2 linked regions of the Lepisosteus oculatus genome follow. The protein of the gene in region 2 purifies or fractionates together with the protein of the main gene of each other region. This does not show direct contact. Links are inferred from orthologs where the notes say so. Each region holds a gene or a part of one and is shown on either strand. Other genes may lie near its edges.

Region 1 (7,595 bases), on a different chromosome or scaffold from region 2:
GGTGGTCTTCCTTGTGTTTTATACCAGTTCTTCGCATCTTTCTGAGGATGTGTTAGGCATCTTTGTAACAGCAGCCCTGGGGATGTACAGTTAAGTGGCCAATCCATAACTCAAATCTTTTTTCAGAAATGTCTTTGAAGACCTTGCAGAAGACTTGGGTTAATTATCCTGCTGGAGTAGGAACTCCAGCCCAATTATTAAGCTCTTGTGGCTCTAGATAACACCCCACAGTGCAAAACACCTCGTTATTTTGTTGCATTAATTGATGTCTCTATTATACAAAGGCCAGCCTTGCCTGTGGAAAAAAAGCAGATGTGTACTCCACTATGTTTTCAACAATAGGCGTGACAACCTTTCTCTTTGTTTCACCTCCCTGAACACAGTTTCTGTCTTAGTGAAAAACAAAATCTGTTCAGACCCTGAAATCTTGCTTCTTCAAAGTCAAATGCTTTGCGGTTTTATGTTGCCTCCTTGCTTTCTCATATGGTCTTTCATCTTGTTAAAGATTTGTTCTCTCACAGGTTTCTCATGGTAAAATGCCGGCCCATCTACCTAGGGAATTTAGCTCTGTTCTAACCGCTGTTTACATCCAACCACAAGCAAATGCTGAGGCGGCGCTTGGTGAACTGTACAGCGTGATAAACACAAACACGAAAGTTTGAAGCCCGATGCCGCATTGATCTTTATGGGGGCCTGCAATCTCGGGAAAGTTTTGCCAAAATTTCACCACGGCGACCAGAGGCTATAACACCCTCGACCACTGTCACATAACCAATAAAAGGGGCATATCAAGCTGCGCTCTGACCACTTAAAGTTACAGTTTAGGATAAATAACCTTGCAAATCAGCTGGTTCACAGTCTTTGTCAAGCAGTCTTAGCTGGGCTCTGGGCCACACTGAACCAGCCTGACTGCATGTCCTCCTGTGTTCATCTCCCCCATCTTAACGTATTGTTAAGCATAGAGATTCTTTTTAGACTTCTGCGTCTCACTGAAAGCTCTTTAGCAGAAGAGGTTTATTTCTATTAATGTAAGGCAGATGTTGCAATTGACTAAACTCTTGAGAAACCTGAGGGCAGTGGGTCATCATAACTGAATGTTCTTTCTGGGGTTGTTAAAATTAGTCATCTTATCAACAATAGATCACAGGAAGAGAAGTGTTAACTACTATAGTAGTAACACTCGAAGAAGATGAAACATTGTGTCTCTTTGCTTTTTAGGATGAAATAGACCGTTACTTGTTCCTTTATAGTATTAACTATGCCCATCACAGGAGATCACATATATCAGACTTTGAAAAGGTTGCTGGGAAGGAGAAAGAGTGACTAACACAGAGCTTTGACAATATTGGCTTCGGTCATGAGAGTTATTTTTAAATAAGGTGCAAATATTGTCAGCACATTTGAGATCACACTCTCTGTTGCATCTGTAAAACATTTTTCAGTACTGGGTTTGTGCCTAGATATGCCCAAAAATGTTGTTTCCTCCCACCATATTTCTCTTTATGTGGAAGAAAAAAGGTTGAGTCTAAAAGCTCAGGATACCATATGTTGCTTCTCTCCTTATGCTCTTCAATTAAATACCTCTCTGTCAAAAACACCTGTGTCTCTGTTTAAAAGGGAAAAGCAATCTGAGAAGGGATTTCATTTTAAAAATTCAGATATTGATGTTTTTTCTTAGCATCCATATTGACAGAAATATGATTTTTCACAAGTCAATATTTTTTACAGTTTGATTGAACCTGACAATAGGCAAATTTTACCTAAAGCGTCTTAAAAGGAAAAAAGCAAAAAGGCCTAAAGTAATTTCCATACTTTAAAATCTTTTAAAAACCCATAAAGGCCATTCTGTTCAGTAGTCCCCCACTGTAGAATCCTGTGCTGCTTCACTGGATATTTTAATCGATACATTGTTTAGTTTGGCTTGAGGTAAGCCCGTACCATGCAGAAAACATGGTTTGATTTCGAATTCAGGTTAATTGCCCGTTGCTGGGTTTTGTTTATGGGGTTGACACTGTAATTTGGAACAAAGTTTATAAATTATTTATTTTTGTAAACCAACAGTAACGTTAACTTGTGTTCCAGAGCTCAAGAAAATTTCGTGTCCAGATAAGATATTTAACATACAAATGATACTCAAGCAGGTACCCAGTGTCTGGCCACTGTGCTATACCCTCCCACTGGTTGAGTAGTCTATATTGTGTAGATTCAGTGGCCTCTAAATTCTGCTTCAGGTGTTTCCAATCGCTTCCTTCCAGTTTTCTTCTTATATTTCGCTTTTAGCTACTCTATCAGACTTCCACTATCTGTAATGGATGATCTCTAAAAATTAATAATGTGTACTGCTGTAGTAGAGAATGATACATTTGCAAAACTATTCGCAATTCGCAACACTGGTGAAATTGTGTTTATATCCGGTAATATTCAATTAAACGGGAAAAACCCGAGAAGACAGAACTGCTTTAGAGAATATGTCAGTACATCCACGTATTAGCCCCATTTTCTCAACTTTTTAAGATCTATATGTTCATCAAATATTGCTTTTATTAAATATCTTTAAAATACCAAAACTCCATTACAATTAAAAGCTCGTGATCACGTCAACGTGATGAAAGTTAAGAAATCATGAGAGAGCCAAAATATGTATTAAAAGTTAACACTTTTAAAAAAAATATATATATATCGTGTTAAAATAAACAAGCAAAAAAATTAGGCAACGCATTTTTCAGTTGCTGTAGCCGTTGGCTTGTCAAGTAAATCAAACATATTTTTAACTAATCGCTTTAAAATGCTGTGTGGGAACAGTTCGTTTCGCCGTAGACGAGTCTCATGCACTTACTGTACCTTTCACATCTTGTGCAGGACAGTCTTCTCGGAACTCAGCCTGCTCTGCTCTCCCGTTCACCGTGAAATAAATGATTTTTGCTGCCATTTGAAGAAAACAGCTTTGCGGGTGGGAATCATTCGCTCTCCGGTTCCACTGCGAACTGCTGTTGAAGACTTCAAGCATCACGTTTAAACGAGGGACACCTCTGTCCTCTCTCTCTCTCTCTGTTTCCAAAACACAGTCTGCATCTTCTGCAGTTTTCTTTTCAATGAAAAGATCTCCCCTCCCACCAGAAGCTGCTGCTGGATCTGGGCAGCTTCTGCAAACGTATTATTATAGTATTCCTTAAACACAACACAGTGAGCAAGCACAGTGCCATGCACAGCTGCTGCAATGCAGGTGACGAAGTTAGGTGATACCCCATAACCCCTAATCCCTAACACGTAACTACTAACCCCTAACCCTAAACCAGAGAAAATTAAATTCTACATTCTTAGCGATAAAAGAGTTCAGCACTGGAACTCAAAATCACAAGTAAAAGCAATTAAACTTAACACCAACCCTCCAAAAGTAACCTTAACATCCCCTCCAAACCTCATCCCTTTTCCCAGGTCAGCGGATACTGGAATGAGAGGGCAGGGGACTCAGAGCTACAGAAGCAGTATCAACCATAAACCATAACTACTGAGGCAACCTGTAGCCGGCGCCTGGTCACTGCCAGACGAACTCGAGACATTGCTTCATCAGTAGCAGGGGCCCGAACAGAACTGGTGCCAAAGCAATAGGGGCACCTCGACCAGTCGCCACTCATTTCCACAGAAATTGACTCCCTCATAGCCCAGGTATTCCTAACCCCAATCCTTCTCAAACGGAGGAGGGCATGAACTCTACCCACAACCCAGCATTAAATCTGAATCTGACCTAAACGCAGGTGGCACACAAACTTTAATCCAGCTACACTGGGGTGAAACAGGAAGGGCATGGTGTGGCTCAACACCAGTCAACCAATATTCTAGACTAAGTGTCAGAGAAACCACCGAGGGGGAGAAGAATAGGTCACTCCAGCACAGTAATCGGAAACTAAGGCGAGTGCAGGAAAACATTTGTTCAAATAAACGAGCAAAAAAACTATGCAACACATTTTTCAGTTGCTGTACCCGCTGGTTTGTCAAGTAAATAAAATCTTTATTTAAAAAAATCGGGTTTAAAATGTTGTGTGGGAACAGTTCATTTCGCCGTAGACGAGTCTCATGCATTTACAGTGCCTTTCACAGCTTGCCGCTGAAGACCTTAATCCTCCCTGTAGACAGGGGGCGCTAAAGAAGAAGAAAGTGTCGTTTCCCCCCAAGTTGCTCTATTCAGTTCTTGCTTTCTCTGGTACGAAGTGCAAAGAAACAACGTGGTTGTGGTGCTGCATTGAGTGGAGGAATAGGAGGAAAATAGTCCGCTTTAAAGAAAAGGTTGATCATTTTCGTCGACGATGACAGAAGGCAGCTCGGCCCCTGCTCCAGCCGCCCGGAACCTGCTCGCTCTGAACCCGAGCGAAGAGGCTGAATTTAAGAACAAAGTGCGAGAAGTGAAAAAGCGATCTAAGAAAGTAAGCGAACTCCAACCATCAAAGAAACAGAGCGTGTAAATTAAAAGGTCGAGATCAGATCAATCTGTATGTAATCGAGCGTTTTAAACTTTACGGTGTAGCCAAGGAAGTCATCGAGGTCGAAATGCGCTTTAATATTTCGAAATAAAATTGTGCGGGTGCTGTTCGGGGCATGTGTGACATGAAGGCGAGGAGGAACACAGTAGCAGCCTACGTGTGGCGTCATGTTACTGAAGCGAGAGCATTCCCTTTAAAATGTGAAGTTATCCGCCTCTAATGTGGGCTTTTTTTGTTAAGAGTTGTGTTTGTTGTTTCCTTCACTTTCTTCCTGATTCATTTCGGCAGCATGAGAGGCTGACCCCAGGTGTGATTTACCTCGGCCACATCCCCAATGGGTTCTTCGAGCCTCAGATCCGACAGTACTTCTCCCAGTTTGGCAAAGTTCAAAGGTTACGACTGTCCAGGAGTAAAAAGGTGGGACGTTTTAGATTACAGATGTGGGTTCCGTTATATAGGCATTTCCAGAGTTCTTGCATTGCAGTGCTGTTATTAAGCTTAACAGATGCCCTTATACAGGAGAACTTACAAAATATACGCTAATACGTAAAGTAAATACGGAAAAATCAGATACTGTTGCAAAGTAAAACCGTTTCATAGTTCCATAATGAATTGTCATCTGTAATCTCTAATATATTAGTTGTTAAGGTTTTCTTTTGTTTTATGCAGTTACTGCATCAGTTAATGTCCCTGTATGTTTGTGGTCTTGCTTGAGAATATCTACGCATTTACTTTTGCAATTTGGTAATGAACAAAATTAAATTTCTGTAAATGTTTAGTGTCGTTGGAGCCGTGGTAGCTCCTGACCGGAAGGTCCCGGGTTCGATCCCAGGGAGGGGCAAGCGATGGAGCTCTGATTCCTTCCAGACGGCTCCCAGGTCCACTCAGCCTGCTTTCCACATGAGTACCAGACTGGGGGTTAATCCTTCTGGGGGTAATAGACCCGCCGGAGCGTGGTGCTGACCACATCGCCTCCACCTCCAGTGTGGGATGATTGAGAACAATGGTGGCCCTTGCCCCCACATTCCCCATGGGCCTGGATGGCCTGAAAAGGGGACCTAACCTACCTACCTTTAGTGTCACTATTGGTCATTTAACAGAACATTTTAGTCCTTTAGCAAATGCAATAGCTTTTATGCATAACAACTATTCCTTCGAAAAGGAGCACTCTTAGATTATAAGGAGCAGAGAGTGTATTTTTCAAACTGCCATTGTGAAATGAATGTTTCAATCAACTCTTCGTCCTTAAAGCATGTGAAGCTATTTAACCTATTACTCTTCTCAGTGTTCTTAATAAGGGAACAAGAAAAATCATTCTTCTTCAATATACTGATTAAGGCGTGTGTGATCGAAAGATATCCATTAATTGGGCCAAAGAGCGCAACGGGGGTTCTGATGTGGGAAAACAAATGTGTGCTTTCTGACTTCATGTCTGTCCCTCGATCAGAATACATTTCTGCAAAGCACATGGACAAAAGGATTTTAAATGCAATTTTAAAATCCTTGCATCTGCTTGCTTTATTCATTCACCTTGTTCTTGGTTTTCAGACAGGTGGCAGCAAGGGCTATGCGTTTGTGGAATTTGAGTGCGACGAAGTGGCTAAGATAGTGGCAGATACGATGAACAATTATCTCCTGCGTGAAAGGCTCATAAAATGTAAGTAAGGGAGGGATGAAGTGTGTTTCTGGAACACTTGCGGTGATTGTGTAATGTGTATGTCCGAAAATCTCTCTTTTAAGAACAGAATTTTCTGAAAAGTCTTGACTTCTGTCCTTTTAGCCTGGGAAGTGCTAGATTATAGAAAGGCGGCGGTGTCCTTTTGGTGCCAGTTCCATTTTTCTTACATCAGTTCGGTCTCACCAGTGTGACTGGTTATTGTGGGAGCTCTGGTTGAGTTTGAGGGGGGAGCACAAAGAGATGGTTTGTTTGTTTTTTATCCACATAGAAATCACTCAGGACCGTTCCACGCACGGAGTCGGGGTGAACTTCTCTGTGCCTTGCTCCGCAGGTCACGTTATCCCACCCGAAAAGGTGAAGCCGGAGCTTTTCAAAGGAAGTCAGACTCCGTTTAAGAAGCCCTCGCGCCCGGCGGTCGGCCGCTACAACAGGAAGCGCACACCTCGGCAGAAGGCGCAGATGACCAGCAGACTTTTACAAAAGGAAGCAGGTTTAAGAAAAAGGCTGGCAGAGAAAGGAATAGATTATGATTTCCCGGGATTTGTAAGTCCGCTTAAAACTGCCTGAATAGCTCTATAATAAGGGTACTGCCTGTGCGGTGGTATAGTCCTAAAAACGTTCCTTGCAAAGTCTTCTCAACAGATTATTTTCCTTTTTTCTTGCTGTCTGTCTGTAGAATAAAAACGTCATCTCTGAATATAATTATCTACACTACTCGTGCAACTTTTTGGGGCCCTTTAGCATAACTCGTCTGTTAAAAAGTGATATTTAATTGCTGCTTTTCTAGTTGTTTTTAACTAAACAGGGCCTTTGTCACTGAGCTAATGCAGGGGTGTGTGGCTATCGCTTAACTCTGCTTCATCATGAAAGGGTTCTCAGAAGTTGAAATAACTGTACTGTGCTCTTAATATTTCTGAATGGTATTTTGTAAATGGCTTCATAATGTATGTTTTTTTTTTCTTTTTTTAGTCTGCCCAAGTATCCAAAAAGAAGAAGACCTCTGCAGAGAATTCGGCCTCCATGACTGACAGTCTAGTATGTTGTATTAATGTGTCTTTTAAAACACGTATTGTAAAACGAGTAGGAAACATGCAAAGCTGTACAATTTAACTCTGAGACTTGCATGTATGATTCAGTCAACCAACTCAAGGCACCATAATATGAGCCCTTAAGATTGCAAAAGGTTTCTTCTCCCCGCATAGTGACAGGGAAGATTATAAGATCTAACCTGTTATCAATTTTGGTGTGTTCTCTGTGACTTTTCCCTGCAACAAATTATTAATGTTCAAAGGGCATCCTGTTAGGAAGCTTTGTACTCAGCGTGTGTCTTTTTCTTTGTGTCTGTAGGATGTCACGCCAGTCTGCACACCAACTGTGTTGGAGAAAAGAAAGTCAATGAAAGTGGAGGACAGCGATGGTGATGATGAAATTATAATCAA
Region 2 (8,365 bases):
TGCACTCGCGCCCGGTTGATGTGCAAACCCTCAGCGGGGTGTAAAAACAAATGTGGAATGTTTCTACTGCATATACATGAATGTTATCCATGTTGAACAGTGTTAACCTAGGTGAACATGTATAAAAAACATCACTATGGTAACTATTAAACTGTAGTGACACGTGCTATACTGTAACAGACTAAAACTTACTAAGGTAATACAATTTAAAAGTGTATTAACATAACAGCATAAAGTGTGTAATAGTAATAACCATAGTAAAGTATGAAGTACTATACTGTTGTTAAGAAAACATGGTAAAATATAGTAAAACTCTGACAATAACCAATATGACAATTTACCATATCAGTAACAAGTATTTCTTAAAATACAATGGTTTCACTAATGTGTAAATGATTCATCTGTACATAGATGATCTGAGATGTTCTTAGCCTATTGTTAACATTGCTATTGGAGCTTCTTACACTGTGTTAAGACAGCCATTTTTCTTGTTTGTGCTTTTTCGGCTTGACCATAAAGAACGTCAAAAAGACTTCAAACACGTGGAGCTCCTACCTGTCTGAGCTGCATTTGTAGTTTCTTCTTCTGCACCTTCAGGGCTGCATTTTTCAGTCGCAGTTTCTCTGCCAGTGTGTCCTGGAAGAGGCAGTCAGGACAACAACAGGAGTAAGGAGAGGGCTACTTCTGTCTGGTCCTGCACACATCCATTTGGCTGAGAACTGCCAATCCTAGGTGCTGCCATTGTCTCAAGGTTAATAATGTATGTCCTGTTGCCGTGAGTGATACAGTCCCTAGCCTCGAGGATATTCCAACGTGATGTCACTAAGACAGCAGCCTCGAGGACACACTAATACTCTGTGGAATGGAAGCGTGCCAACTTGTAGAGTAAAAACCTAAGAGATGAACTGAACAATTAACTAATTAAAGGCATGCCACTCAAAGATCTGCAGCAATAACACAAATGCACTATTTTGTGCAAATACCCTGTTTTTTTTCTCTTTTAAGCTGCAGATCAAGGTCCTACTTAATGGCCAGGCTGTTGCATTGGCTGGGACCCCAGTCTTTGTACCCTGCCTGTTCTCACACACGTCCTGTGCCTGCTCACCTTTGCCCTGGTTCTGTCCTCGATATACCGCACTACCTTCTCTGCCCCCATCATGACACCTCTCTTCTCCTGCAGGACCCGGGCGACATCACGCTCAAATTCATACGTGGCCTTCTTTATTTCCACCAGCCGGATATCAGCCTCTTCTGTAGTGGCCTGGGAGGTCAACACAGTAACAAGAAAAAATGGCAAAAGCCACAAGCAAAGGCATGCAGCTCCACCCCCAGCAAGAGATAAGCATGTTGGAGCTCAACCATGAAAAACTACCATTCAGAGTACCAGCCCAGAGATCCCTGACTTCGACATTCTTAGAGATTTGTGAGAGGAGTCCTGTACACTACTATGCCATAAAATGTCTGTGGTTAACTCAGCATCTCATCTAGCAGATTCTCAAAGCACTGCAGATATCATAACCTAGAGCTGGACATGGCAGCTGTTTCTGTGTGTAAACCGGAAGCACTGATGTAGCACAGCACAACACACAGTGAGAACCAGCCAGGGTCTGTGCAGCCTAGGGGACAGCTGGCACACAGGCGAGTTATTAATGAGAACTGCAGTCCCAGTTTCTCACACTGGTTATTAAATCTCGGTAACAAAATAAAGTCATTGACATTATAGGGGAAAAATGTCGAAATTCTGAATTAAGCACAAATTTGTGAACTTAGTGAAAGTACTGGATGTTGTCATAAACTCACACTCGAGTTCCCACAAATTGTGACATGATGCTGCCCTTCCTGCTCACTATTCACTGTAATGGCTAATGTAATGGGATGTACCAGTGAATACGTACAGGTTGTGCAGCAGACATTTTACCGCAGAAATGGAAATCTGATGTTCCATAAAATGTCTACAATGTGCAGAGTTTAACAATTAAGTTGAATTTTCAGCAAACTGTCTCGAAATCGAGAGCAGTATTTCTATTGGCTTTAGAGATGTATTCACAAGCCGGCTTCTTTACAATGTAATGGGGCCGCTTCACCTCACCAGAGTTTGGTCGCCTCCTTCTAAATCGCAGATCATGGTGCTGCGCAAACGTAGACATGGGATCTATTTTGTGCAGAAAATTGGAGGTTTACACGCTACTGTGTACATTGCACTCTAATTGTGGTTTGAAATGCGCTCATCCATGCAGATTCTAACAGCGGACTCTGAAAATAGCGTTACATCTCCCTCCCGCTTTAACTGCGCCCAGCTCCTACCCTGTAGTTGTTGAGAACTCGCTCCGAGGCCTCTTTCAGTCTGCCCAGGTCCTCTCTCGTCTCCTCCAGCTCCCGCTGGGCCACGTCGCACTTCTGCTCCACCGTCAGCCGCTGCAGCCGCTCGGCCGTGAACGAGCGGCTCTTGGACTTGCTCCGGCCCCGGGCCTGGCCCTGGCCCTGCGGACGAGACCGAGCCGCGTCAGGGCCAGCCGTGGGAAGCGCTGGCTATGACGACGGCGGGCCTCTTCTCGTTCCACGAAACGCGGCGGGTTCACGCGTGTCAGGACAGACAGATGTACCGTTTCATTACTGTCCCGAAGCTTGGGGGCAACGTTCGCAGAGTCCCTCGTGTGTGTTGTGAAAGACATCACATTGATGCCGACAGCTTGTTTTCACTGACTCAAAATGTGCCAGGAACTGAATAAGAAACCTGAATTCTCCAGCGCTTGCTAGGGGTTTGCGTGCCCTGCGCTCTCTCAGTAGTGCTCTTTTTGATGGCTTCTGGTTACGTTGTTCTTTATCGTCTTAATTCCATATATGTTGTCAATTCTACTAAAAACTGCCTCCAAAAATACCCCCCAAAATTTAAAAAGTGTGTGTGAATGTACCACAAGTACATGATGGTGTCCTTGTACCTCAAGGATAAGGGAAAGAGAAAGTTAACGTTTTTCAGACAGCTTTGCAGGTGTGATAATCACTATGTGCAGCAAGCAGCCCTTCCCTGCAGCAACACAATCCACGGGAAATGCTTAAGGTGAGAATGGAAAACTAAAGTCATTAAAAAATAAAGAAGAAAACCGAACAAGACGTCTAGAGTACGAGATCTGGGCTCTGACATCCCTAAAATGACACATCTCGGCTCACTGACAGGTGCTGCTGTAAGATCGGAGACAGACCCAAGTAACCCCCCCCACTGCGGCAGAGACAGCCGGGGCGCCCCACACGGGCATGTCCACCATACCTGGGTGACCTCCGCCTGGGACACGCCCAGGGTGGGCTCCGCCGCGGCCGCCGGAGCCAGGTCTTTGGGGTCCAGGCGGCTGATGTACCTCTGGAACATCTCCGTCTCGGCCTTGAGGACACCATTGGAGCGGCTGGCGACACAAGAGGCAGGACAGGGGCTGCTCACGCGTGCGTTCTCCGGTGTTAGGAAGTGACTCTCAAGCTCAGCGACCTCACGCTACTGGTTTCCTACCCGTAGCGCACTTTTACGTCCTTCTGCCCACGTAGGCGTCATAAAGTATCTATCTATTGCAAGACGTGCTGCGTATTGCGGTCACACATGTGTCGGACGGGATTTAGGTCAGAATTACCGGATACGACACCGGTGCGGTTATAAGGCCCTCAACCGTTTAAACACCTGTTTTTGCCGTTTGGCGCAGCTCACTTTCATTTGCCTAGTGTTAGTCTACACAGTACCCGAGCTGTGCGCATTTTCCTGGTTACACGAGCAATCGGAAGCTGAGGTGCAGTCTAGAGATTAGTCGAGCACCTCTCCTGCCTTGTCGTTCGTACCTTGCCTTCTCTCTTGCATGCAAAGTTGAATTAGAATGCTCAGCTAGTATACAGTTCAAAAGAAAACACGACATCTCAAAGAAGTGATTTTTAAAAAATAAGTGTGCATGGAATTATGTGCTCCTAACCAGAATAGTAGGATAGACAGACCAACCGCAGGAGCTGCAGGTATTTTGTTTTTGTATTGTGGTATTTCAATGTGAGAGCTTTTAACGCTTGAAAACAAAAGTACCCTCTGAGCCGTCAATCTTGCTCTGGACTAGCTTCAGAAGCTGTTGATCAAGCTATCCCGTGTACATCAGGGTGTACGCCTTATCCGAACTTCCCCTCGTCCACATTTTCCACACCGATTGGTTCTCTCTATTTACAGTACCTGAGTTCTTCTACGAGCAACACCAATTCGTGCGCCCCGAGCTCGGAAAACTCCGGATTGTCGTCTGCCTGGGACTCGCACTCTGCCTCCGCCATGGTTGCCAGGATAAACAAGCGAGGCTGAAGTTGGCAACCAGCGTAGACGTCACACACGGCGCGTGACGTCAGGCGATGACGCCACCGCGGTTTGCAAGACAATTTAGTGTCAATATTGCCGGTCTTTTCAAGTGTTTCCTTATTTCACGATTCATTGTATCTTGTACTCCGGCCCTCCATGACCAGGAGTTAATGTCACTGAATCATACATTACTGCCCCACTGTGTGGGTAGAGAAGATTGCAACTTGAAACAAATAATAGGGACATTAAAAAAATAATGTGTCGCTATACATCAATAAAATCGGTCGATACACGTCACTTATAAATAATGCCACACCTTTGCAATAGCAAGCAGGTTTCCAGGTAACAAACAACAACGTCTTATTCATTTTGAACTCAAATCAGTGTAATATATTACCCTCCATCTTGCCAATATGTAGCATCCAGTGTTAAACTTCCGTTTACGATGCGGGGGCCCTTGCCGCATTAGGTCGGCCCCCCACCGTCGGGGGCTCGAACCCGGGACTTCCGCGTTACTCAACAGGGACCCAGCCCGGTGAGCTAAAGAAAAATCCCTCTATACTGTTATACAATGACTCTTGATGCCGTCCATCTGCGCGTTTCTAACGTCTTTACTCCAGAGCCTCGAGCTGATATGTCAGGAATGGCGCTGCGTGTATATATATATATTTCATTTCCAGGGCTCCTAAATAGGCCCTTAACCCCAACTGCTCCAGGGGCGCCGTACAATGGCAGACCCTGCGCTCTGACCCCAAGCTTCTCCCTGTCTGTGTGTCTGTGTCTCCTTGGAGAAAAGCTGGGGTATGCGAAAAGACGAATTCCTAATGCAAGAACTTGTATAGGGCTAATAAAGAAACATTATTAACATTATTATTATTATTATTAATTGCAGCACCTGCAGACCGGATTCCTCCCTTCCAGTAGGCGGCGGTAAGGTTGGCCACTGACAGCCCGGTAGCGCTGCTCTTGTCAGAGAGAGGATTATACTATTGCGTGCAAGGTTGCGCATGCTAAAAGGGACACAGCGAAGTTCAGTTCTGCTTCTAACGTTGACTAAGAGATATTAAAAATGCAGCAAATGGACATTGGAAGCCATAGTATTTGTGGCGGTTTAATGACTTTCAGTACATTAAAAAAATATATTTTAAAAAAATAAATCAGTACAGCCACGAGAAAACGGGATATTTACAATATTTAACAATATGTTAAAACCCTGCTGGTCAGGGTTATAAAAATGCCCCTTAAAACGAAATTAATGTATAATTTTAAGCCATACAGCCTTATTAAATGAAGAGGTGAATATTATTAGGTAAGAATAGAATAAGGCTAAATGTATATTATTAATTGTACCTAGCCACTTTAACAACGGCGTAACACTATATTATTTAATATTATTTTATTTTTGCAGGTATGACCGTGTTGGTGATAACTGAATCCTGTTCCAAAACCGTGAAAGGCGGCAGTAAGAGCCAGTTTCTCGGGCGGTTTAAAAAGCTCGTCTCGTAACGCCCCAGGATTAAAGAGGAGCAATGCGATCAGCTGGAACAAATCGACGTGCTTCATGAGCTAGACGCGTCCTCTGACCTCGTATGAGTGCTTCCGAATTGGGTTTAGATTTAAAAAAAAAACGAGAGAACCGGTAAATTCTGAACCAGACGACATGCACACGCCTGTCTTTACTGAACACACTGCCAGCCTCTTTCAATGCAGTGACCGATAAGGGGGGCTTGACGGCCAGTTTAACTTTATTGCTGTCGGAGCCTGATTCTCAATTCGAGCATTTGCAGGAAACACTTTTCCAAGGCTCACACCGAAGCAGTACAGACCCCCCCCCCTTCTTCTTCTTCTTCTTCTTCTTCTTCAAGCCCTGCCGGAAGTCGGCAGCTCTTCACCGCCACAAGGTCGGGCCCGGCGCTGTCTAGTCGTAATCCGCTCGTCTATGGTCGCATCCATCTTCGCGAAGCTGCGATCGTTTCCGGGTGGATCTGCCGCAATCCGGTTGCCTGTGGTACTGGCCGGGGGAGGGGGGTTCCCATAGAGATCCCCGAATCCGACCTCCGGAGCGATTTCCCCGCTCTCCTCCAGCGGCTTGGACGGCGCTCGCAGGCTTTCGGGGTCCCGCCGGCCGGGGCGCAGAGGGAAAGCGGCCATCGATCCGCTCGATCACCACCGGGCAGCGAGAGCGCCGATCATCTCCTCCCCCCCCCCAACCCGCAAACACACACCTTCCCATACCACCCCTCAACTCACACACACACACACGCCGGCTTTGCGTTGAATACATCCTGTAGACCCGTAGTACTGGATTGTAAGACCGTTTTTCGTCAACATCCACGGCACCGGCGCCATCCCCATCCCCCCCCCTCCACCCGAGGATCCGTTCCGCCTCTCGCAGGGCCTGGACCCCGGGGGAGTCTCAGCGGGCTTCCCTGTCTCCGGATCAAGGGTTTCGCGGCCCACAGCGGGATGGGGGGGTTCGCCTGCAGTCAGTAGTTTCACGGCACCCCCGTCCCCCCTCTCCCCACTTTTCAAAACCTGAAACTCCAGACTGCGCGGGTTTCGCCACCGCCTCCGGAGGTGCTCGCCTCCCGCTCCGTCTCCTCACCGGGCTGATTACCCTGGCGATCCCTCTCCTCCTCCCTCTCCCCGCCGCCGCCGCCGTTCGCGTCCTGCAGCCTGGGTCCCCGCTCTGCCTGGCTCTCCGGGCTACGATCCCTGCCTGCCGTGAGCTCTCCGGACACTGCGCCCAGACCTCCCCGGAGAAGGTACCCGGCGGGAGCCGCCCGCCCTGCTCAGACGGCCCCCTCTCGGCTCCGATAACCGCCCGCTGTCCCTCGTTCGCAGCGGCTCCCCAGACCCCCTCGCCCCGGCTAGCCATGCCTGGCCCCGCGGCGGGCAGCAAGTCTCGGGTGTACGCCGACGTGAACACTCTGAAGAGCCGGGAGTACTGGGACTACGAGGCACATGTGCCCAGCTGGAGGTGAGGAAGGAAACTCGCAGGGGGAGAAAAAAAAACAAAAACACGGGGGGCGCCGAGACCCCGGGACCCCGAGACCCCGGGCGTTTTGGACGCGGTAGATAGCGCGCAGCAGCCGGCTTAGAAAGTTTCCATTTCAGCCTTTTTGCCAAGGCCTTCCAGTGCGGCTTCCTGAACCGCCGAGCATTTAAAATTGGACTCCGTGAATGCTTAATTCGTCGTCATACCTAAACTCTTGAATTGTTTCTTGGGGGGGGACTGTAATACCGGCGCTGTAGAGGCAGCTAGACAAATAGAGCACAACGCACAGTCGGAATAATTTGGCACCTGATTTGTGCTGCCTAATCGATGGCAGAGGAATTCTCATCTCCATCAGGCCGTGAAGTTTCTTTGCTTACCCGCAGTCCCCGGAAGACCAATTTTATTTATACCTCAGGAGCTGTGTGTGGGTTTGTTTCTGTCCGGTTTTATGGCTGTGAAATAATCGCCGCTCTTGAGCTTCCAAAAGTCACCGAAGACCACAGCTGAGCACAGAGCACAGGCGGTGTGGTCTTTTTGGAAGATTCTTTTTAAAAGTAGGTGGTTGTTGTTTTTTAAAAACGCGTTTAAACAAGGCATTGTTGATTAGCTTCTAATTTCTTTGTATACGTGGGGGGTATTCAATGTAAAAAAAACCCACTTAAATGAATGAAATTTGTGATTTTCACTGGGAGATACTGGAATTAAGGAAGCACATTGTCCTTGTGTTGAATGGAGGACATTGCAAAGCACCAATGACTGTACCGGGAGCTCACAGCAGGTGTCTGGCTTTAGGCTGCCTGGGCCTGTTGTGTACTTCTTTGAGGTACAGTAGGGTGGCCTGAGGCAGGCCTGCATTGTTCACCTTTTTAGGGTTTTCCTTCCCTTTTTTCCCAGTCACTGACATCTGCTTTCTACGTTGATCGTTCCAGTGCAGTGATGAAGATTGTAAATAAAAGAGAGCCAGACGGAGACAAGCAGTCCCCGAAGTACCAAGTACCCACATACGTGTAGAGCGCTACTTTTGTGCCTGTAGTGTAGTCTCTCTGCACCAGCTGTTC

Evidence for each region. The genes of interacting proteins can lie anywhere in the genome.
Region 1: the proteins of csnk2a2b (region 2) and nifk purify together in Homo sapiens (affinity purification with mass spectrometry; 3 studies listed by BioGRID and IntAct, with this or other methods). This does not show direct contact. The link is inferred for Lepisosteus oculatus from reciprocal best matches to the Homo sapiens genes CSNK2A2 and NIFK.

The regions. Positions count from the first base shown.
Region 1 is NC_090707.1:4,289,174-4,296,768, reverse strand, and holds the start of nifk (MKI67 FHA domain-interacting nucleolar phosphoprotein), read left to right. Parts: upstream 1-4,189; 5' UTR 4,190-4,304; coding exon 4,305-4,421; intron 4,422-4,766; coding exon 4,767-4,895; intron 4,896-6,026; coding exon 6,027-6,135; intron 6,136-6,487; coding exon 6,488-6,699; intron 6,700-7,125; coding exon 7,126-7,191; intron 7,192-7,503; coding exon 7,504-7,595. Other genes in the region: high affinity cGMP-specific 3',5'-cyclic phosphodiesterase 9A, read right to left, coding at 2,842-3,007.
Region 2 is NC_090715.1:11,437,195-11,445,559, reverse strand, and holds the start of csnk2a2b (casein kinase II subunit alpha'), read left to right. Parts: upstream 1-5,222; 5' UTR 5,223-5,239; intron 5,240-5,717; 5' UTR 5,718-7,074; exon of another isoform or gene 7,075-7,153; 5' UTR 7,154-7,185; coding exon 7,186-7,289; intron 7,290-8,365. Other genes in the region: cfap263 (cilia- and flagella-associated protein 263), read right to left, coding at 556-636, 1,106-1,261, 2,305-2,481, 3,266-3,398, 4,193-4,287.